Linked DNA regions of Danio rerio. The protein of the gene in region 1 interacts with the protein of each later gene in a pairwise test. Links are inferred from orthologs where the notes say so. Each region holds a gene or a part of one and is shown on either strand. Other genes may lie near its edges.

Region 1 (4,631 bases):
GAAATGAAGGCTTTTCTTGTTTTTCTTTTTTAATCGGAATTATCAATTAATAAAAAAAAGTCAACAGATTTATCGGTTCTCAAAATAATCGTTAGTTGCAGCTGTAAAAACAAGCAGACCCTAGTTGTATATATGCTTTAAAAAAAAACTCTTTTAATTGAGATGTATTGTCAGTTATATTCTGAATCAATTAGGTAGCTTTAAAAGTGTTATGAAAGGGGCAGGGCATGTCAGATACTTGAGAGCATTTAATTGGTCAAGATTTGATGAGAAACAGAAGTATGAGGTGACATGAAAAAAATTGTTGATCCATTTAATGTGGAAGTGACAAACTGCAAACGTAGGATGTTTATATTAGGTTTATTTTTTCTAAATATTAATTTTGTCACTGGTTTGTAGCACACTAGCTTATAGATATCTTTAAGACTATTATACAGTTAATTACATCAAAAAACCTTTATTTTCAGTTCACGGGACCTTTGAAAAAGTTTTTAAATAATTTACATTTGATTTGGTGATACCTGAAAAAAAATCCTGGGCCAGTATTCAGAGAGTAGGTGGTGTTTGTGACTGTTTGAATACATTTAAATATATTAGCATCTATACTATTAACACAATCCATTTCTAATGCATTTTCATCTGCCTCTGGAAGTGGTATAGGAACAAGCTCCCAATAGCTGTGTTTCCATCCACCTATTTCTATGTGCATAAAAAGTCAGTTGATGTAAACGCCAAGATACACACTGAATAGCATAAACTTTTTATTAACCTCTTAAGGCACAAGGTGTTTTTTATGCATTTTTCTCTTTGTTATTTGGGCCTATTAGAACCTAATTAAAATAAAAACCTTGGGTTCGAATTTACATAAAACACTTTTTCCTGAATTTTTTTGAATGCCTATTTTACATTGAATTTTTTTAACCTACTTTGACTCTCAGACAATAAAAACAATTTTTTCCCCCCATTTTGGACAGTTAAAAGTAGTGTTTGGGACATTTCATATGCTGCAAAACAGTTGCAAGATGACACTGTATGTAATAAAATATAAAAACATTCAAAGTATTTTAAATAGCCACTTAAAAGCTAAAATGTGCTGTCCACTTATGTGGACAATTAAGCCCTAGGAGGTTAAACTACGATGGAAACACTTTTACCGAACAAATTCCAGTATGTGCATTAAAAAAAAAGTCACGCGATTTTGTTATACAAGATATGTTGTAAGTTGTGATTTTGTTGTAAGAGATGATAAAAATGTGTGTGAATGGACAAACCATCACATTGTAAATCATCTGAAATGTTGTTTTGGTTATTATAAAATGCCTTAACCATTTCAGTATCAGTTTTATTATATTATTAATTACCTCCAGAACTGTCAAGAGCGTCTGTGCTCCGCATCTCAGACCTTCAAACACCACCACGCATTCATTGTGTGTCGGCATCATCTTCTGAGGTGCAAATAATTTATTAAATAAGGAAAAGCTTCACGCAGCGTCTCCTATCACTGTAAATTCTGTTTTACTGTTGATTTTTGGTGCCAGTTTATCAGGAAGTAACGATTTTGTTCTCTTTGACCCGTTTATGCGAAATTACTGTTTTGCGCATACATTTAATTGACATTTTTAATGGAAACATAGCTACTGTTTCAGACCCTGCTTAAACTTGTATTTAGCATAAGTGACAAGTACATCTTAATACCAGCTGTAAAGGCTTTAGATTTACGTTTGGTTTCTGCTTTGAGTTGTTCAACTAACGGCTTTTGATTGAGTTTGAACTGTTTGACTGTCAGAATATTAAATGATTATCAGGCTGCATGTAAACACTGCTCTTGCCTTTGTGTTTTTACAGGCGAATCCGAGCAGGGACGGAGCTGACGTGGGACTATAATTATGAGGTAGGCAGTGTAGAGGGCAAGGAACTTCTGTGCTGCTGTGGATCAACAGAATGCAGAGGACGACTGCTGTAACACACACTTGAACACATGCACTAAAGGTATCTCCTTTTGGGCCGCTGAACACTTACTTGGAGCTCCTGGAAGCTGAATTAGTACAGAGATGTCTGTGCTACTGATAAGAACTCTGCAGATACTAAATGAGAGGAAAATTGTTCAGGAACTTATTGAATTTGTAAAATAGGTGTACGTGAGCATGTCCTGCTTCACAGGGTTCCGCCTTAAACCCTAAATGGGCACATTGTGTCTATCACAATGTCTATCTGTGGTTTAGCAGTCCTTCCCATTAATATCCCTCTTTTTTCTTTTCTTTTTTACATGTATGCAATCATCAGTCTCAACACCCTTCTGTTTTGCTTGGTTATATTTGTCCTCTTTTACATCCTATGTAGTTTTGATAATGAGGACCCGAGTGTTTTGTTTTATCATTTTATTCATGGTTTTGTGTTATTGTATGCTAATGTGTAAATGTGCTTTTGTTGGTCAGTAAGTTTATGAAAACAGGCAAAATTGTACTTTTGTCACAATTTGAATTAAAGTTCTCCAAAGACCATAAATGTCATTTTCTCCTGTGGCCAGGGCTTAACATTTTTGATCATCAAAATCCTGATATTGATTCGTCAGGATGGCAACCGAAATCCAACATCTGATAAATGTCATAGTGGTAACGTCCACACAACTTCAAGCTGTAACATCATTAGACGTTGATATTTGGTTGATTTTAGGCTGGATGTTGGACATTGATGTTGGCCTGACATTGGGTTCTGATGTCAACCTAATTTTCATTGCATGTGGACGTCTAGTGCCTGCTAGGTGTTTAAGGCCATTTCAGTCATCACACAGTAAGCATCCATCATCTTCTCATTAAGCACATGGATCTAAAAAACCTCTTGAGTCAATGCGTGTAAAGATTTTGGACATCTTCTTGGACACTTATACCGCTTCCAAACCGTTATAAATTGCAGATGTATTGAGGTAGTTAGTTATGATGTGATTTACCTTCTATGTGCAATTTAATTATACAGGAATCACAGAACTGATTTTTCTAATCCTCATAGACAGGATAAAGAAGTAGTGACTGCAGGTTGAAGGAACGTAGTGGAGTAAAAGTACCAATACTTCAATAAAAATGTACTCAAGGGAAAGTAAAAGTACACAATTTTAAAACTACTTGTTAAATTACAATTTCTGAGAAAATCTAGTCAATTGCATTAGTTTGAGCATTTGTAATTTGTTACTTTACACCACTGCTAGCCACTCAGCATTTTCACTTGCCAGAATTTTGTTGTTAGGAAAATATATTTTATATGCATAAGTTTAACTTTGACACGCTAAAAATTATTTGATTTAGCCATAGTGTTGCATTGCAACTCATTTTTATTTCACATGACTGTTTAGGGTTCAACAGTAAGGATTTACCAAATTTAAAAATGTCAAAAAAAAGCCTAATATAGCTGTATGTATGCTCTTTTTATTTAACAAAACCTTTCTTTAAAAAAAAACAAAGCAATTGACATTTAAAAAATAAATATTGCCATTTATCTCAAACTATGTACAGCCGTCCGTCCTGGCTCACAGATCACCAGTTAACTACACTTAAATGGGGAGTTAATCCCCTACAGCAGGGGTCACCAATCCTGGTTCTGGAGGGCCGGAGTCCCTGCAGGGTTTAGCTCCATCTTGCCTCAACACACCTGCCTGGATGTTTCAAGTATACCTAGTTAGACCTTGATTAGCTCGTTCAGGTGTGTTTGATTAGGGTTGGAGCTAAAATCTGCAGGACACCGGCCCTTCAGGAACAAGTTTGGTGACCACTGCCCTAAAGCAATGTTATTGTGAAGGATGATAATTAAACTAGGAGTGTCACGTTGGCGCAGTGGGTACCTCGATCGCCTCACAGCAAGAAGGTCGCTGGTTTTAGCCCCAGCTGGGTCAGTTGGCATTTTTTGTGTGGAGTTTGCATGATCTCTCCATGTTGGCCTGGGTTTCCTCTGGTTGCTCCAGTTTCCCCCACAGTCCAATGACATGCGGTATAAGTGAATTGGGTAAGCTAAACTGTCTGTAGTGTGTGTGATTGAGAGTGTATGGGTGTTTCCCAGTGTTGAGTTGTGGCTGGAAGGACATCGGCTGTGTAAAACATATGCTGCATAAGTTGGCGATTCATTCCGCTGTGGCGACCCTGTCATGAATAAAAGGACTAAGCCAAAAAGAAATGATAATTAAACTGTATTAATCAAAAATAACTAAGCAAAAGACAGCAGGTGAAAAACATACTGTGTGTGATAATAAATAGGATGATCATGTGCACACGGTTAACTTTAGGCCTGTAATCTGTTCGAAGAATGGATAAAGCAAAAAGGGCAAGATCGTAAAGATTTTATTACCATTTTCCATCTTATTAGGATACAAGTGATACATTTTTTTTTCTTTTTTCAGAACATGACTTAACTTTGATTTTAATGTTTGTATTTCCCAGTATATGTTGTCACTTTGGGGTTGTATATTAATAGATTTTTTCCAATTTCAAAATTAAAAGTTTATATTTCTACAATCTATTGTCAGAAGCTTCAAACCCCCAGATCTTGCTAAGCGAGTTGTTGGTGGCTCAGTCTGGTTTATGGGTTCTTGGAGAGTTCTGTAATTCAAAACTTAATTAATACATTCATATTAAATAGTATTAATT
Region 2 (6,552 bases), on another chromosome or scaffold:
TCACAAGATATGTGTAAGACATTTGGTGCCCTGTCATTTTGAGAGCTGTCTGTTTATGAGATCTGCATACTATTAGCCACAGGACCATAGCCAGAGAGGGGCTTCAGGTCGTTCAAAGACCCATCCCTCACTGACAAAGGTCCAGAATTTTTTTTCATACATTAGCTCATTTGTCCTATTTTTACTCATATGCCATCATAAATAGTGAAAATAACCTATCGAAAAACCCATCAAATTACATGTTTTACAAGAGAGACTAGAAACATTGTGAAGCTCTATATTATTGTTGTTATTATTATCATTATTATTATTATTATTATTATTATTATTATTATTATTATTATTATTATTATTATTATTATTATTATTATTCAAATGGTCAAATTTTTTAAAGAGGAACGTTAAATGTGCTGAACAGTTTGTTATTTATATTTTGCCAAATAAATGACAATAGGCTTGTTTTTAATTTAAAACAGATTATTTTTTCCATAATGATATATAAATGTAATAAATTTGTATTTTAAAAAATAAGTATTTTTTTCATATTTCAAGCTAATCCGACTAGCCAATCCAGCTAAATGAATGCTTAAAATGTATTTAAATCTCATAATTAAATAGAAAATGTAGATTCATTTATTCATTCATTTTCTTGTCAGCTTAGTCCCTTTATTAATCCGGAGTCGCCACAGCGGAATTAACCGCCAACTTATCCAGCAAGTTTTTACGCAGCGGATGCCCTTTCAGCTGCAACTCACCTCTGGGAAAGAAAATGTAGATGTACAACTATAAAAAGGTTCACTTTTTGAGAACCACCACTTTCACCAGGCTTGCTGTGGGCCTGAGCTTAGCCCACAAAACAGAATATTTTTACATATAACAAGCATTTTTACACATAGATGCTCAAAAAATTAACAAGAGTCTTTAAAATCATTATCTGTTCTCTGGATTTGCCATTAGTAGGTCCGTTTGTGTTAAATGTTCATTTGTGTTGTAGAAGAAAAAATAGTACTCTGATAAGGTGTTTTCAGAATTACAAATAAGAATATTGTCATTTAGAAAATGTATTATATATTAAATTTTCACATATTCTATTACATTTTCACATATGACACAATGACTGGGTTTGTAAACAAAAATAAAAAAATCTGAGAACAAAAATCTAAGAACCAAATGATTTGTCAGACAAATTCCTTTCCTGAACAACTCACAAAAATCCACTATCAATCCATTTTAGAAATTGTTGGGATGAAGAAGTTTTTATTCACTGCATTTATCTTTTTATTTCAGAGACAGATTGTATAAGTTTCTGGTAGAATGTATAAATAATCAGTGTGGGTATAAATATCTGAGGTTTATAATGCGAAACTTGTTCCAGACAACAAAGATGGTATTCTCACAATCACAGCTGAAAGCTAAATATAGTTGGATCAGCACACATGTAATAAATTCCTGTTGTATTATAGTGTAGCTTGTCTGAAACAAAGCATATATTTTGAGTTCACATTTTGGATATTATTCATGTTAAAGTAAAACAGCTGAATGTTTTTTTTTTGTGTCTGCTGCACCTAGAACTTTAGTTCTCTGCTCCCCAAACAGCAACAATCAGATTGTGTGAAAAAAAAAAACTGTGTCAGTGCAGATGTGTTTGGTTGCTCTTTTCTGTCTGTGGAAATATCTGGGTTCTCTTTCAGACGAGTTGTTTTGTAAAAACAGAACAAATCTCTGGACTATGTTGACAACATTGTTGTCACAAGGTCTGTTTGCATCTTGTTGATGTAGCTGGCCTGTATAGGCCAACACACACAATAGCAGCTAACTTAAAATAGCGTTTTGCTTAATCGTTCATATGTTTAATCTGTAGTAGGTTATATTTTATAATTAATTTATGTTCAAAATTAAATCTGAAGTCGATTTTTATAAATATAAAATTTTATACATTTAAAACTGGGAACCAGAAATCTATGCCCTGCCTTTTTCGTCTCTCCTTCAATGTCAAATAATAATAACCACGGCGGACAAAAGATGTTATTCTGAGTGTTTGCTGCCACAGTTACCGAAGGCTATAATAAGAAACACCCCTCAACCAACACAGTTGGTCGCACTCGGCTCCACTCGGGCCTCTTCGGAACTCTTCGTCGACCGTCTCCTGGAAACCCCCCTCCCTCCTCGCCTCCGCCCATCCTCGCCAGACTCTCTGGGCTTTATGTCTGGCCGGGTGGACGTGAACTGCCATGCGCGGTCGCCATGTTATCGCGCTCTCCTCCCCTTTTCGGGGACTCGTCACAGGCTCATAGCACTAGCACAGGCTACATTACAAGGAGGCAGCTGGTGAATAGGAGCAGAGTGGGAGAGAGACATTGCGCTAACACAGGAATAAAACAAAAGAAAGCACGGGATGGAATAAAGCAGGACAGCGCTGAGTTGCTCGCTTTCTCTCTGTCATCTGACGCCGGCTGGAGGACTTAGTTTCGTGTGATTTCGTGCTCTGGTGACTGCGATACAACAATTGAAAATGCGCCTGGCAGTTTGAACTGTGATGGGGAGAAACCGTGTCGTTATAAGGTTGGATATTAATCGCCTCGGCCGTCTGTGTCGACTCCTGCACGCTTAAACTTCACCGATATGGTGTGCTGAGTGATTTAGTGAGGATATACCTTTGAAAACAACAGCCGAAGCGAATCCGTGTCGGCTAGCTCGCTAGCGACTGTTAACTTAGCATTGGCATTAGCCTGCTCCTCATGGTGGACATTTAAATACACCTCAAGTGGAATTATTGTGGCAGTTAGAAGAACGTGTTGGTTTTATGTGGAAATTACTCGAACGGCTTGAAGTTGCTTTCCCAAAAGAGCTTGTTCTCTTGAGCTGCGTTTATAACTTTGTCAGAGACTATACTCCAGCAATGAATCACCACGAACGATCCGGAGACTCCGGCAGCGCCCGAAAAATGGTTTACCCCATGAGTTTACCCAGACGGGAGAACAGCAGCAGCACAGTAGGTGGTTCCTCTACATTGACAACTTCAGCAAGCACCAGCCTTAATAGCAACAACTTGATGCTGGCGGATGAATATTCCCCACCAGTGCTGATTCAGTCTCAAACGCAGACTGCGTCCTCGCTCGGGCCCCAGAACCCTCCGCATAGCCTGAGTATCCCCTTGCAGACACCCATGTTACCCCAAACGTTGCCCACTGCAGTTGCACAGATGAAGAAGAAGAGTGGCTTCCAGATCACCAGCGTCACCCCGGCGCAGACATCTGTGAGCACCAACAACAGCATTACAGAAGACACAGAGAGTTGTGACGACCTGGATGAGTCCCACACAGAGGACTTGTCATCCTCTGAAATCATGGATGTGTCTCTTCCACGGGCCAACAATTCAGGAGGTCCTGAAAGAAGCTCCTCTGAGGAGACGCTGAATAATTTTCATGAGGCGGAGACCCCTGGTGCCCTGTCACCCAACCAGCCACCCATTATAACCCAAGCACACCTGCATGGCACCATGGTTAACGGAACTGTTCACCACCACCATCACCACCACCACCATCATCACCATCATAATCCTGTTTCCTCTGGAAAAACCCATCCTGCTGGAGGGACACTGATTGGGGTACCTTTGGGTGCCCCGGTCACATCTGTGGTGACCTCAAGTTCGGCTAGCACAGGCCAGAAAATGCCTTCAAATGTGGTGGGATTGATTGAGAATGCCTCTGTTGGCACAACTAGTGCCATCGGACAGCCTTTGGCTACTCTCGCCTCTGGAACTGGAGTGATTTCTGTGACTTCAGGTGCCACGATTAGTACTGGTAATACTTTAACTAATAATGTTTCCGTGTTAAACTCTGCCAGTGTGCCTGTTGTGGGTGGCAAGACTACCAATAGTAGCAGTGTAAACTACTCCTCTGCTTTGAATAGTATTAGTAACCAAACCCCAAACTTGACCCACGTTCCCAGTGGAATAATCGGCATGGGCATCACCGCTGCTGCCACGGTTTCCGGTAGTGTTGCGTCAACAGGTGGAGGGCAAATGGGGCCAGCTGTCATGGGGCAGCATGCAATGCCTGCACCCTCTGTCCCAGTGATGAGCGCTCAGCCTCAGCAGGCCCAAGTGCCTACTCCTGCCTCCACCAGTTCACGTTTCAGAGTGGTCAAATTGGACTCTACCTCTGAGCCTTTTAAGAAGGGTAGATGGACTTGTACAGAGTACTATGATAAGGAAGCCCCAAATGTGGCATCCTCTGAAAATGCCCCTAGCACCCGAACAGTGGAAAGTATCCGTCAGTGTGTGCCTGAAAGTGTGGCGGGACAGGACCGAGACACAGTCAGCGGGAGCTCTGTCAGCAGCTCAGCTAGCCATTACACTGAAAGTCTGGGCAGCGGTGAAACGGGCGGCCCCTCTACTGTGAAGCAGACCTTCCAGCAGCCCATGTCTCAGATGCAACCCCAAGACTTAGTTCAAGTGCATCTTAAAACGAATGCAGCAGCTCCGATGCCGGCAACAGCAAACATTCAGCAGCAACCGCCTGCATCTATCGGAGGATTGCAGACCACGATTGTTCAATCGTCTGCACCTCTACCCTCTCATATGCCCAAACTGACATATGCCCAAGCAGCCCAATCCCCTCCTGCTCAAGCTCTGCCTGTGGTGACCCAGCAGCAGATGGGCTATCCGCCCGCACAGCAGCCAGCTGCACCAGCCCAGGTAGCACCAACACATGTTAACCCCTTAAGCCAGGGAGGCAGCCTGCCATCTGACTTCTCCCAATCCAAGCAGATCCTGAGCACTGTGCCACCTGGGTCAACAAAAACTCTGCCCCACCTGTCCGCCTCCATCCCTCCTGTGGCTCTCGCTGGTAATGGTCAGATGATCACACCCTCCTCGCAGCCCCCTACTGCTCAGCCACTTCCGCAAGGGCTCCTGCAGCCACAACAGACACCCGCCCCGCAGATGGTCCAGGTTGTGCCGCAGCTGGTGCAGTCCACTGGCACCACTCTTATACAGCAGACACCAGGCCAGCAGCTCACCTCACAACCCTCCATGGAGCAGCAGCAGCAGTCACAGCTCGGCAGTCAAGCCCGTGGCACCCAGTTCGTCCCAGCCGTGACCTCATCAAGCGTGCCTCCTAACATTCAAAGTGATCCCCAGTCCAGTTTGTTTCAGAACGGCTCAAAGGAGACTGGGCCGCAACCTGCTGTTAGCACCCGGCCCTCGGTGATGCCGCTGGAGGATGCCCAGCTACTTCTGTTACAGCACCAGGCTCTGCTCGCACAAACCAAGCCAGCCGGTGGTGAAAGTGCCTCCCAAACCGGTACCTCTCGTGGTCCAGAGGGAAGCAGTGGAGTCAATGCCTTATCCGCCTCGGCCAGCCTGCTGAAGAGTTTACCTGTTGATGGAGAGGAGGATGGGTAAGTTCCACTGCTTGTTTTTTTTAATTGCATTGCTTATTTCAGTTCAATTTAGTTTGTAATTATTTCAGCTTTATTAAAAAAATCACACATGCAGCTCAGCATGGTGATCAGCATTATGCTTTAATCAACTGCTATCAACAAATTGTAGTGTGCAGTGAATATCACAGCAGGGCGATGGCTTTCCACAGCATAGCTAAAATCGCAAGCATAGCTTTTTTTGTAACCTAAAACTGTAGACTGCTAGACTGTATCTTTGGTATTACAGACAGAAAGATTATGCTTTCACCTAACAAGAATTTCGGTCTGCTTGGGGGGAAAAAGGCACACATGAAATCACTTGATAGTGCAGTATTTATGAACTTGACATTTCCTATTGAGACAGGAAGTTGAGCCTGTAGTCTTTTGTTTACCTCACAGCCTCAGACTTTTTTTTAATGCTAGTCGGATGTGTGTGTGTGTGTGTGTGTGTGTGTGTGTGTGTGTGTGTGTGTGTGTGTGTGTGTGTGTGTGTGTGTGGGTGTTACTGATAGGGACTTTTTCATTCTAGAAAGTTGGCCTGTACAATATATTGTTTCAGCATAGATTTTGCAACATGTGACTCTGCAATATTCACACTGCAGGATGTGCAATGTTGAACTGGGATTATAGTTGACCAGACACTACAGTGGAGTCAATGCAAAGTTTAAACTTAGAGTGAGTTTTTATTTGTGTGTGTTTTTCAGGCTTGTGACAGTAAATCAGGTAGTTATTTGTAGCTTAAACATTAATTGTATACAGTGCTTCCCACAGGTTTGAAATATACTTGCGCTGGTCACCGGATTGAAACACACCTTTTACCCACATCAAATAAATATTTAATGAGTGACAAACAAAACATAATTAAATTTTTAACAATAATTTTATTTATGAGATTATTTTACACTTTTTTTTTTTTAAATTGGTTAAAATAAGAAAGACTGTTGGAAAAAAAATCTACTATTTAGCTTACTTTTTTGCTATTCAGGAGCCATGTGCACACGCTGACAGGGTAAAATCTTTTTCTCGCTCTCTTTCAAGTTCAAAGCAAACTTGAATGCCAAATGCATTTTACATACACTTTAAAATTCAATAAGTTAAGGCAACTTAAAGCATTTGAGGAAACCGATT
Region 3 (6,324 bases), on another chromosome or scaffold:
CTCGCCGTCTTCAGTCCCTAAACGTCTCTGAGTGTTGTGAAGAGGAGCGGCAGCATGACAGAGTGGGAAACGCTTCACTGATGCAGCTGTTTCTGAAATGTGTTGCAGGAAACATTCATTTATTTATTTTCTTTTCGGCTTAGTCCCTTTATTAATCTTGGGTCGTCACAGCGGAATGAACCGCCAACTTATCCAGCATATTTTTTACGCAGCGGATGCCCTTCCAGCTGCAACCCATCTCTGGGAAACATCCATACACACTCATACACTACGGACAATTTAGCCTACCCAATTCCCCTATAGCGCATGTGTTTGGACTGTGGGGGAAACCGGAGCACCTGGAGGAAACCCACGCCAACACGGGGAGAACATGCAAACTCCACACAGAAACACCAACTGACCCAGCCGAGACTCAAACCAGCGACCTTCTTGCTGTGAGGCGACAGTGGAACCCAAACTGCAAAGTGTTTATTCAGAAAACACAACATAAATGATGAGGAGCACATTAATCATGTGTGCTGAATTACCTGCAGTCAAACACAACTCACAGCACACGTGTTCACACTCACCCAATGTCTGCTGATGTGGGGATGCAGTTCAAGTCGTTTATTAGGGTAATATTGAGGTTTACTGGTGTAAGTGTGTTAGTGAGGTAAGTTTACTGGTGTAAGTGTGCTAGTGAGGTAAGTTTACTGGTGTAAGTGTGTTAGGTGACTGCTGGAAGTGTGTTGTGATTGGCTGAAGTGTGTGAGGGTCTAGTCGTGTCGCTCCGCCTTGAGATCAAACAGGAAGTGAGTTGAGACAGACTGTGAACAGGCCAGAGTTTCTCACACAAACTTTAATGAGTTAAACTTCTGAAATATGAACTGAAATCCTCAGTCAACAGCAAACTCCGCACAACAGCCCGCATCTGAGCGCCGCGGAGCAGAAGCGATGCGCGCTGCACTCTCATAAACTAGTTTAACTAGCTGTGCACGCGCGGAGAAACGTGGTGAGTGCTCAGAAGTGTGTGTGTGTGTGTGTGTGTGTTCAGTATATACAGTGCTCGTAATGACCCGTGTTATGATGTCTCGATTATGCTGGTTCAGCTCGGTGGATGTGTTTGATGACGTGTTGTTGTTGTTGTGTTGTTGAGTCTGTGAGTGTCGTGATTGTGACTGATGTTGTTCTGCTCCTCCTGGGAATGAGCAGCTCCGGCCAGCACTAACAGCGCTTTACCACAGTTTACCTCATTACAGCGGTGCAGGACACACTCCTCCAGCAGCAGCGGGTAAACACATCCTCACACTGCCGCTGAGCTGAAGAGTGCAGAACACGGAGAAGACAACTGCAGGAGCTCTACTGAACACACACACACACACACACACACACACACATCAATATAAGGAGCCTGTGTGGTGTCATATCAAAGAAAATGTACAGTTATTAAGAAAAACACGCTCTCTTATACTATGAACACAGAGTTAACCTCACTGAAACACTTCTACAATTATCACACACTTATAAACATTAAACAGGAGGGAGGATGAACAGCGCACAGTGGCCAGCTTTACTGATGCACCAAATATATATATATATATTTACATGTTGTGTGTGAGAAGCAGTAAATTACAGGTCATCATCATCCACCAAACACTCAAATATGGAAAATGTTTAAAAATAAAGTCAATTTTTGACATTTTAGGAAGTTTTTTGTGGGGAAATGTTGTAATGGTGCAGCGCTGGGCAGCAGAAATGCAGTGTTGCTTGCTTTACTGTGTGTGTGTGTGTGTGTGTGTGTGTGTGTGTGTACAGTTTATTTAGATCAATGACAGCCTACATGTCTGTATGTCACACTAATGATCATCAGAGAAGTCTTATATTAAGAAAGAGGAGAATCAAAGTGTGCGTATTAACACACACACACACACACACACACACACACACACACACACACACACACACAGAGTGTGTTCGAGGTTGTTCTGGCTCTAGTGATGGTGATGTGCTTTCAGGCTCTGGGTTTGTGTGTTTGTGGCCTGTTTACACAACCAGCAGCGCCACACAACTGAGCTGTTGAGTAAATGTGGAGAAACTGGTGTGTGTGTGTGTGTGTGTGTGTGCAGGTTTGTCTTAATACAGCTAAAACTGATGTTTCTGTCTTACAGCAGAGTCACACACACATACTGACAGCAGTGTGTGCACATGTACAGGTGTGTGTGTGTGTGTGTACAGGTGTGTGAGCGTGTGTATGTTTGTGCAGGTAATGATGCCTGCAGAGGAACTTGTGTGCGCGTGCATCAGGTGATGGCACAGTAATGTGTGTGTGTTTGCAGATGGCGCAGGAGGTGGGGCTGCAGTATGAGCCAGTAGCAGAGATCGGGGGCGGGGCTTACGGGACCGTCTATAAGGCTCGGGATCGGGACAGCGGGCAGTTTGTGGCGCTGAAGAGCGTTCGGGTGCAGACCAATCAGGACGGACTCCCACTGTCCACGGTTCGAGAGGTGGCTCTGCTGAAGCGCCTGGAGCAGTTCGACCATCCCAACATCGTCAGGTACACACACACAGTTACATACACACACACAATCACTGATACACACAATTACTCATGGGCACACACACACACACACACACACACACACACACACACACTGATCTCCTTCAGAACTGTAGTAGTTCTGCAACTGTTTGTTTGAGGTTCTTGTTTTGCTGAAAGATCTCGTAATCTGTGTGTCGCGTCCTCTGTGCGTGATGACGGGGTGTGTGTGTCTATGATCAGGCATTTTGTAAGTGTGTAATCTGTGTGTGTGTGTGTGTGTGTTTCAGGCTGATGGACGTGTGCGCGACCCTCAGGACGGATCAGGAGACTAAAGTGACGCTGGTGTTTGAACATGTGGATCAGGATCTCAGGACATACCTGGAGAAAGTTCCAGCACCGGGACTGCCTGTGGACAAAATCAGAGTAAGACACACACACACACACACACACACACACACACACACACATGAATATTTATTGTTTGACCAATAGTTCAGTTATATTGTGGGTTAATTGGTCAGAGCGGGGTCTTCTCAGCTGAGCGCATGCCATGTATAAAGTAAGCTGTGTCAGTGTAAGCGGGGCCTGAGTGTGTGTTGTTTGCGAGCGGGTTTGTGAGTATGTGTTGTTTGCGAGCGGGTTTGCGATGGGGGCGGGGCGGGGTGGAGGATTGGCGATGCCGGCTCAGCATCGTGTTGTCTATCGGCCATCGGTGATGAATGATGGCATCATCTGTATAAACGTGGTTGAGCTCAAGCGCATCAGATGAACAACCAATGAGAAGAAGAGGGCGGGGCATGCCAGACAGGAGAGAGCGTGTGATTGGTCAGGATATTTGATGAGAAACTGCTGTATGAAGTGATGTGCTTGATCCATTTAGGCGGACGAGACAAACTGCAGACGTTCTATCTGCTCAATGTGAATGTCGTCTCTGTTTCTGGATATTATAGATATCAGCACGACTAACACACTGATGCTCACATTATTTCAATATCACAGGGCCTTCATAATCCTTTATAAAGCATTACAGCATGCTTTAATTGTATTTATTAGACAGCTGTCTGGAGGGCTGATTGGTCATTTCTGACACTTCAACAGTGTGTTATTCCCTGATAACACCTGCTGAATAACATGGAGAGAGAGAGAGTGTGTGTGTGTGTTCTGCAGGTCCTGATGCAGCAGTTGTTGTGTTGTCTTGCGTTCCTGTAATGTGTGTGTGTGTGCGTGTGTGTGTGTGCGTGTGTGTGTGTGTGTGTAGGACCTGATGCAGCAGCTGCTGTGTGGTCTGGCGTTCCTGCACACTAATCGAGTTCTCCATCGGGATCTGAAGCCGGAGAACATCCTGGTGACCAGCAGAGGGCAGGTGAAGCTGGCGGACTTCGGGCTGGCGCGCATCTACAGCTGCCACATGGCACTGACCCCGGTGGTGAGACACTCACACACACACACACACACACACACACACACACACACACACACACACACACACACACACACAGAGACACACAATGTCCTGTGAACACACTGCTGACACACAAATACTGATGTGTATGTGTGTGTGTGTGTGTGTGTGTGTGTGTGTGTGTGTGTGTGTGTCAGGTGGTGACGCTGTGGTATCGCTCTCCTGAGGTGCTCCTGCAGAGCACATACGCCACACCAGTGGACATCTGGAGCACCGGCTGCATCTTTGCCGAGATGTTCAGACGCAAGTGAGTCTCAGCAGAGTGTGTGTGTGTGTGTGTGTGCGTGCGTGCGTGCGTGCGTGCGTGCGCGTGTGTGTCAGCGGCTGCAGATCTGCTGCTGTATGTCCTCTGGTTTGTGAGCTTGAGTTGATGATTCTGTCCTGATTCTCCTCTTCAGGCCTCTGTTCTGCGGAGATTCAGAGGCGGACCAGCTGGGGAAGATCTTTGCGTATGTCAAACACACACACACACACACACACATTCACACAGAGAGATGAGGTGTGTTATTGACGGATCAGTGTGTCCCTCAGGGTGATCGGTCTGCCGGCGGAGGATCAGTGGCCCACAGACGTCACTCTTTCCCACCACAACTTCAGCCCTCAGAGCCCTCGGCCAATCACAGACTGCGTTCCGGACATCACAGAGAAAGGGGCGGAGCTATTGCTGGTACGTTTACACACACACCGACAGATAACCCTGAGCACAACACACACAGCTCAGACGCAGGGCGCTGTAGGAGAGAGTGATGCTGCATCGGTCACCTGGATCTGCTGACCGCTCGTGTTCAGCAGGAGATGCTAAACGCATGAGTGATGTGAGAGACGCGCTGACAGCTCTGTGTTCTTGTGTTGACAGAAAATGCTGACCTTCGACCCGCTGAAGAGGATCTCTGCGCTGAACGCTCTGGATCATCCCTTCTTCAGCGAGTGATGCTGCTCTACACACACACACACACACACACACACACACACACACAAGCCAGCAGACTGAAGATAAACATTCCCTGAGTGTGTGTGTGTGTGTGTTCATCTGCTCTGTGATGAAGAGGAGCTTAAATCAGGGGTGTCAAAGTCAGTTCCTGGAGGGCCGCAGCTCTGCTCAGTTTAGTTTTCCCCTAATTAAACACAGCTGATCACACTAATTGAGTCCTTCTGGCTTGTTTGAAAGCTCCAGGTGAGTGTGTTGGAGCAGGGCTGGAGCTGAACTGTGCAGGGCTGCGGCCCTCCAGGAACTGAGTTTGACTCCGCTGGCTTAAAGGGTCAGTTCACCCACAAATCAACATCTACTGGCGCTTATCTCTCCCTCAGGGGGTCTGAAACCTGTTGGAGCTTCTCTCTTCTGTTCAACATGAAAGAAGATATTTGGAAAAATGTTGTAATTATTGACATCTAAAGTAGGAGAAACAAATAGTATATAAGTCAATGGTTGCTGGTGTTCAACATTTTTCTAAATATCTTCTTAATGTTTAACAGAAGATGGGTTAAAGACCCCGTGAGGGAGAGATAACCCTAAGTAGATGTCGATTTGTGGGTGAACTGACCCTTCAGTGCTCGTTCTCCATCAGTGTGATGTTATTAGTGTTCACAGAGGAGGATCTCTGCATGACGATCATGCTAAACAAACTGCCCATGTGACGAGTGAGGGAGTGAGTGAGGGAGGGAGTGAGTGAGGGAGTGAGTGAGGGAGTGAGGGAGTGAGTGAGTGAGTGAGGGAGTGAGTGAGTGAGGGAGGGAGTGAGAGAGTGAGTGAGGGAGGGAGTGAGGGAGTGAGTGAGGGAGTGAGTGAGTGAGTGAGGGAGTGAGTGAGTGAGGGAGGGAGTGAGAGAGTGAGTGAGGGAGGGAGTGAGGGAGTGAGTGAGGGAGTGAGTGAGTGAGGGAGTGAGAGAGTGAGTGAGGGAGTGAGTGAGGGAGTGAGAGAGTGAGTGAGGGAGGGAGTGAGAGAGTGAGTGAGGGAGGGAGTGAGGGAGTGAGTGAGGGAGTGAGTGAGGGAGTGAGAGAGTGAGTGAGGGAGGGAGTGAGAGAGGGAGTGAGGGAGTGAGTGAGGGAGGGAGTGAGTGAGGGAGTGAGTGAGTGAGTGAGGGAGTGAGTGAGTGAGTGAGGGAGTGAGTGAGTGAGGGAGGGAGTGAGAGAGTGAGGGAGGGAGTGAGGGAGTGAGTGAGGGAGTGAGTGAGTGAGGGAGTGAGAGAGTGAGTGAGGGAGTGAGTGAGGGAGTGAGGGAGGGAGTGAGTGAGTGAGTGAGGGAGTGAGTGAGTGGTGAGTGAGTGAGTGAGTGAGTGAGTGAGTGAGTGAGGGAGGGAGTGAGGGAGGGAGTGAGAGAGTGAGTGAGGGAGTGAGTGAGGGAGTG
Region 4 (6,386 bases), on another chromosome or scaffold:
AGTTATACAATATATATATATATATATATATATATATATATATATATATATATATATATATATATATATATATATATATATATATATATAATAAATATATTAATATTATAATATTAATATAATAATTATATATATATATATATATATATATATATATATATATATATATATATAATTATATATATATATATATATATATATATATATATATATATATATATATATATATATATATATATAATTAATAATAAATATAATACTGTTAGTATTTTGAACATGGAAAATTAAAAGCATATGTTTTACTTGTTCATATTTTAGTAATTACAAAAAGTATTACAGCTGGAAAATAAGCACTATTACTGTTTTATGCTAGCTCTCTTCAATTCTCACATGGTCGCCCACTGAAGCTAAGCAGTGCTGTTCCCTATCACATGGGAAAGCTAGGTTGTAGAAGTCGTGTTAGTGAGACCAGCAAGGGGCGCTCAACCTGTGGTCTGTGTGAGCCTAACGCCCCAGTATAGTGAAGGGGACTCTTTCGGATGAGACGTTAAACTGAGGTCCCGACTCTCTGTGGTCATTAAAAAACCCAAAATGTCCTTCAAAAAAATGAGAAGGGGTTTAACCCCAGCATCCTGGCCAAATTTGCCCAATAGCCTTTGTCCATCATGGGCCCCTAATCATCCCCATAGCATATATGGCTTCATCACTCTGTCTCCTCTCCACCTATCAGCTGGTGTGTGGTGTGTGTTCTGGCACAATACGGCTGCCGTTGAGTCATCCAGGTGGATGCTGGATACTAGTGGTGGATGAGCAAATTCCCCCCAATGTGTAAAGCGCTTTGAATGTCCAGAAAAGCATTATATATATGTTAGAAAATATAATTATTATTTAATTGTAATTTAATTTCTCTATGATAATTTTTATATTGTATGGCCTAATTAAAGTAAAAAGGTTATTTATATAAAGTAATGGTTATAGTTTGAATAAGCGAACATGCAAGAACGTTTATTTTTGTAATTAATATGTTCTGAATAATGTCAACACTAAAACTTAAGCTAGCATTTATAATTGATATACCTTGGAATAACATGGTACCACCACAGTACTTTTTATATCGTACACAAACACATGGATGTATATTGCCACTGTTAAAACAGTATTTAATGACAAAATAAATATATGAAATTAAATGTCATGCAGAAAAGCCATTACATTTCAATTTAAAAAAAAAAAAACATTACAATAGACATTACACACAATTTAAAATCATTCTTCATATTGTCTAAAAAAACACACTGTTCTGTGATCATATAGTGACTGAAATTAAATTCATTATGCCAGGATATTTTTATATTGTTTGCACATTCGATTTTCAGTTATGACTTGCACCACCTCAGATGTTTTTTAGTTTAGTTTTGTTTTGTTTTTAAGGAACAGCATATGACATTTTACATAAATAATTTAGATGCCAGGGGGAGGAAGAATTAACATAATACAAAATCTACTTATGCAGTAATTATATTAATACATTATAAAGTTTACACAATTTTAAAGTGTGAAGTGCTTTCTAGTAGAGAGTCTCTGATACTGAAAATAAAAGCGTATTTCAGTCAACAAAACTTTAAATTAGGATTCTTTTGTATTTATTATTGCTCTTATTTTGCTTTATTAACAAAAACCAGGGAGCGACATGGTGGCTTATTGGTTAGCACTGTTGCCTCACAGCAAAGAAAGTTGCTAGTTGGAGTCCTGGCTGAGTCAGTTGGCATTTCTTTGTGGAGTTAGCATATTCTCCCCATGTCGGTGTGGGTTTCCTCCGGATGCTCCGGTTTCCCCCAAAGACATGCGTTATAGGTGAACTAAACTGTCCACAGTGTATGTGTCTGCAATGAGAGTGTATGGATGTTTCCAAGTTCTGGGTTGCAGCTGGAAGGGCATCCGCTGTGTAAAACATATGCTGGATAAGTTGGCGGTTCATTCTACTGTGTCGACACCTGATAAATAAAGGGGCTAAGCCAAAGGAAAATGAATGAATGAACAAGAACCAGCATTTAGTTTCATTATACAATTTAATCACTTCACAATCCTTAACAAGAAGGAATAAATGAGATAAGAAAAATAAAATAATGATAAAAAAAAAGAGGGAGTGGGTGCATAATTATCAATTTACATTAAAAAAAAATTTTTTTTTTTCAAATGTAGTTATTTACAAAAGTTAAAACACCAACTAGGAGCTCCGGCCAGGAGACGGCGCTGTGGACAGTTTGCCCCCGGGTTTCAGTCGCTCGTTCGCGGAATGCGCAGTGTGTGAGGTCGCAGCTGTCATGGCGGCGTGCAGGGCGCTCGTGAGTCGTGCCGTTTTGCCTTTGCATTATCATCATGTGTGCAGAGGAGTGATGCTCACCCAAATCAGAGAGAAGAAGAGATGGATGAAGGCCTACATGTTCGTCATGCGCAAGAAGTTGAAGCTGGAGGGACCTCCAGCTCCAAAGCCACGGTCAGTAAAGCATCTCAAGGCCACTTATGAGTGAGACACAGGGCTGTGACACAAATCATGTTCAACCGCCTTCCTAGGATGCATATATGGGTGTCAAGAGGGCTTAAGGATTGAGGTAAAGTTGGTTTTATATTCGCACATTCGTTCAGTGACAACTTGTGACAAGCTTCTTATGTTTACCATGCTACTTTGAGTATTGGGTCTGGTCAATCACAGGTAGGTATGACTTGAAAACAGCATTAGCAGCAGCATTATTTATTTGACTGAACAATACTGTACTTTGATAGTCGTTTGGCTGCTAATATGATTTCACTATTTAGAATTTGCAAACAATATTTTGGTGAAATTATAATAGTAAGCTGAAAGCCCGAATGTGATAATATAATACCAACTTTACCTCAGTTGCTTAAGAGTGTACGTTATCTGTGTTGACCAAAAAAAAGACAGCTCACAGGAAATTGAGACACAGCCAATGAGTACAAATGTCCAGATGCACTAAACAAATGTACTAAACACAGTTAACTATTGTTATTTCACATTTAGTGTTCAATAGTTCAACAAAGAAGTAAATATCATTCTAATTGTAGTAAAGCTATATGCATACCATCTGTCTAAATAATTTGCGTTATAGAGCCATAGAGCTGTTTGTTTCAATATTAGTGGTTAATTTAAGTAGATGATTTGGCTTGAGCAATAAAAATAATATTTACAAGAATTTTCAATTGTTAGTTATAGACCATTTCCATGCGTAAACATGAAATTCAATTCAATTCAATTGTTTTTTGTCATGTGCACAGTAAGGAAACACGTTTCCCTGTACAATGAAATTCTTACTTTGCCGTCCACAATGGTTTTTGTTTTCCGAGTATTCAGTTAGCATTTCATGTATGCATTTTAAATATGAATAACTTTGGGTGGCATTTTTTTATTTTGCGATAAATATTGCGATATGAATACAATTTCACCAGATGACTTAATATCTCTGTTCGAAAAGAATTTATAATATTAGATCACCTGGGATGATTTTGCAGTGGGAGTGCATCTCCATAAAATCTAATAAGCAATCTATACATTTTTTGGGTCTCCTGACACATTTTCACAGTTGTCTTTGCTATTTGCTGTGCATTTCTGTATTTGCATGTGTTGTGAGTGTTTTTATGCACTTGTTTAGTCAGAGATTGATTACTTAATGTTCAATATTTGCATCTCCATCAAATCTAGTAAACAATCTATAAACTTTTTGGGTTTACCCAACTTATTTTCGTTGTGGTTTAAGCTATTTGCAGTGCATTTCTGTATTTGCATGTGTTGTGAGTATTTTCTATAAATACAATACAGAAAAATATACAATTGAAATAAAGTGTTTCAGCGTTTACCGAGTCTTTCAGTATTCAAATACAGTAACTGAATGGTACAAAAAAAATTCAATAAACTTAATCAAAGTTAAAAACACAAATGGTGCAATTTCTTATACCTGAATACTTTTAAAATAATTATACAATCACAGGCATCAAAAACACATGCAAGTGATAAATTATAATACAAACTCAACATTAATCATCAATAAGCTATCTTACTAAATTAATAATACAGGTTTGAAAGAATATAAAGATAAATTAATGGGGGAATTATCTTTTGTAAATGATTAAAAGACATCTATATTAATAAAATTGTATTAAATAAAATTATAAATACACTACCTGACAAGTCTTGTCGTCAATCTTGACTGCTAGTTGATCATTTAGAAATGTGGCAGAAGGTAGATTTTTCTGATGAATTATGTTGAACTGCATCCCAATCATCACAAATACTGCAGATTACGTATTGGAACCTGCATGGACCAAAGATTCTTACAGAAATCATTCAAGTTTGGTGAAGGAAAAGTCATGGTTTGGGGTTGCATTCAGTGTGGGGGCAAGCGAGAGATTTGCTGAGTGGATGGCAACATCAACAGCCTGAGGTATCAATACATTTGTGCTGCCCATTACGTTACAAAGCACAGGAGGGGGTGAATTCTTCATCACGATAGCGCTCCTCTTCATACTTCAACCTCCACATCAAAGTTCCTGAAAGCAAAGAAGGTCAAGGTGCTCTACTATTGACCAGCCCACTCACCAGATATGAACATTATTGAGCATGTCTGAGGTAAGATGGAGGAGCAGGCATTGAAGATGAATCCAAAGAATCTTGATGAACTCTGGGAGTCCTGCAAGAACGCTTTCTTTGCCATTCCAGATGACTTTATTGATAAGTTATTTGAGTCATTGCAGAGATGTATGGATGCAGTCCTCCAAGCTCATGGGAGTCATATCAACTCTTTTTGCACTGCACCATGACTTAATATTCTATTGTGCATTATTTATATTAAATGACAAGACTTTTGTCTAAGCAAAGTCAGACCTTACTGTCCTAATTAAATCATTAAAAATCAAGGCATGATCAGTTTTATTTTGGTAAATTAAGCATAATCTAGAGGCCTTTGCCTTTCATATAAGCCTCGTCTGATACCAATTGATCAACTAGAAGTCAAGTTATTATTGGTTGTTCCTAAAACTTGGATAGGCAACAAGGCTTTTGTCAGGTGGTGTATATACATTTTGTGTGCAAGTGTGTATGTGTGTTTCACTATAATTGTATTGATATTGATGTTTTGTCCACATCACCTCTGAAATTATGTCTCCATCCATGGCTTTAACTCTCTTGTGTCTTGTCTTTTGATCAGCTCTGAACAGCCGAACTTTGATTACCATGCTGAGGTGGAAGCTTTCGGAGTCCGTCTGCAGGAGAGTTTCTCTGTGGATTTGCTGAAGACGGCGTTTGTGAATTCCTGTTACCTACGCTCTGAGGTGGAGAGGAGGAAAGCGCTGGGTTTGGATTCAGAGTCCGCCATCCTTAACCTGAAAGACAACACTGAGCTGCGTGATCACGGTCAACACTTCACTACGGTAAGCACAGTCAGATCACAGTTGCCACGCCAGACAAAGCAGATCTATGCCCGGTTGCCAGATCTGTTTTGTTGATATCTGTCTAACATCAAAACTGTATTAATTAGGCTTTTATCAAAGAGGAACTTGGCTGTAAAATGCAGAAGCAGGAGCCAACGGAAAGGTAGTAAAGAAAAGTAGAGTTAAATCATCTGAGTTGCAAGATTTGAACAGATTTATGCATGTTGAAAATCAACGTTAGAATCTGTTAAAACAACGTTAGTATCTGTTAGCTTTTACTGTAAGGGAAAAACTGGCTAATTTTGAGCTTTACCCCTCTAATTTTTTAAAATCTTTCAGCTTTAAAATCTCTGTCAGGCAGCGTTACTTTTGGTGATGTAGCATAAGCCTCTGTGTACTCCAGTGAAGTGTTAGCTGTCTAAATATTATTCATGAGACTGAGTTTTGTTATTCTATAGGAAGAGCTGCTTCTGAATAATTCAGTCAGTCTGACTTATGAAATCAAATATCCCTCAAACATACACAATATAATTTAAACAACAGAGGTTAAACCATAGTTATAACACTAAATATATGATTAAATTAACCCTTGTGTATTGTTGAAATGCACTACCCTTTCATAATCTTTTTGGCTGTTTTTACCCCATTGACTTTCATTATAATGACATTTTTTGATTGCAAAGCCATGACAGCATATAATCCTGCATTCTTGATTGTTGGTGGTTTTCCCTGTTGAGAAGAGGTCAAATTTGTAATTTTTACTGTTAATCATCAGTTGACACTATTATCCCTTTAGAAAAACTTCTATGGAGAACAACAACAAATGAAAGTGTGTATGCATAAATACACACTACCTGACAAAAGTCTTTTCATCGATCACAGTTGTAAGAGCAACAAATAATAACTGGACTTCTAGTTAATCATTTGGAAAACTGCCTGAAGGT

Evidence for each region.
Region 2: the proteins of setdb1b (region 1) and tsc22d1 interact in a two-hybrid assay, tested with the Homo sapiens proteins (2 studies listed by BioGRID and IntAct). The link is inferred for Danio rerio from reciprocal best matches to the Homo sapiens genes SETDB1 and TSC22D1.
Region 3: the proteins of setdb1b (region 1) and cdk4 interact in a two-hybrid assay, tested with the Homo sapiens proteins (2 studies listed by BioGRID and IntAct). The link is inferred for Danio rerio from reciprocal best matches to the Homo sapiens genes SETDB1 and CDK4.
Region 4: the proteins of setdb1b (region 1) and mrpl44 interact in a two-hybrid assay, tested with the Homo sapiens proteins (2 studies listed by BioGRID and IntAct). The link is inferred for Danio rerio from reciprocal best matches to the Homo sapiens genes SETDB1 and MRPL44.

The regions. Positions count from the first base shown.
Region 1 is NC_133191.1:23,259,679-23,264,309, reverse strand, and holds the end of setdb1b (histone-lysine N-methyltransferase SETDB1-B), read left to right. Parts: intron 1-1,845; coding exon 1,846-1,963; 3' UTR 1,964-2,505; downstream 2,506-4,631. UniProt on the Homo sapiens protein: Histone methyltransferase that specifically trimethylates 'Lys-9' of histone H3. H3 'Lys-9' trimethylation represents a specific tag for epigenetic transcriptional repression by recruiting HP1 (CBX1, CBX3 and/or CBX5) proteins to methylated histones.
Region 2 is NC_133184.1:20,414,653-20,421,204, reverse strand, and holds the start of tsc22d1 (TSC22 domain family protein 1), read left to right. Parts: upstream 1-2,252; 5' UTR 2,253-2,803; coding exon 2,804-5,403; intron 5,404-6,552. UniProt on the Homo sapiens protein: Transcriptional repressor. Acts on the C-type natriuretic peptide (CNP) promoter. Acts to promote CASP3-mediated apoptosis.
Region 3 is NC_133186.1:159,774-166,097, reverse strand, and holds the end of cdk4 (cyclin-dependent kinase 4), read left to right. Parts: intron 1-785; exon of another isoform or gene 786-991; intron 992-2,315; coding exon 2,316-2,533; intron 2,534-2,805; coding exon 2,806-2,941; intron 2,942-3,776; coding exon 3,777-3,944; intron 3,945-4,117; coding exon 4,118-4,227; intron 4,228-4,378; coding exon 4,379-4,429; intron 4,430-4,511; coding exon 4,512-4,647; intron 4,648-4,836; coding exon 4,837-4,911; 3' UTR 4,912-5,043; downstream 5,044-6,324.
Region 4 is NC_133190.1:37,850,067-37,856,452, reverse strand, and holds the start of mrpl44 (large ribosomal subunit protein mL44), read left to right. Parts: upstream 1-2,243; 5' UTR 2,244-2,324; coding exon 2,325-2,497; intron 2,498-5,219; coding exon 5,220-5,442; intron 5,443-6,386. UniProt on the Homo sapiens protein: Component of the 39S subunit of mitochondrial ribosome. May have a function in the assembly/stability of nascent mitochondrial polypeptides exiting the ribosome.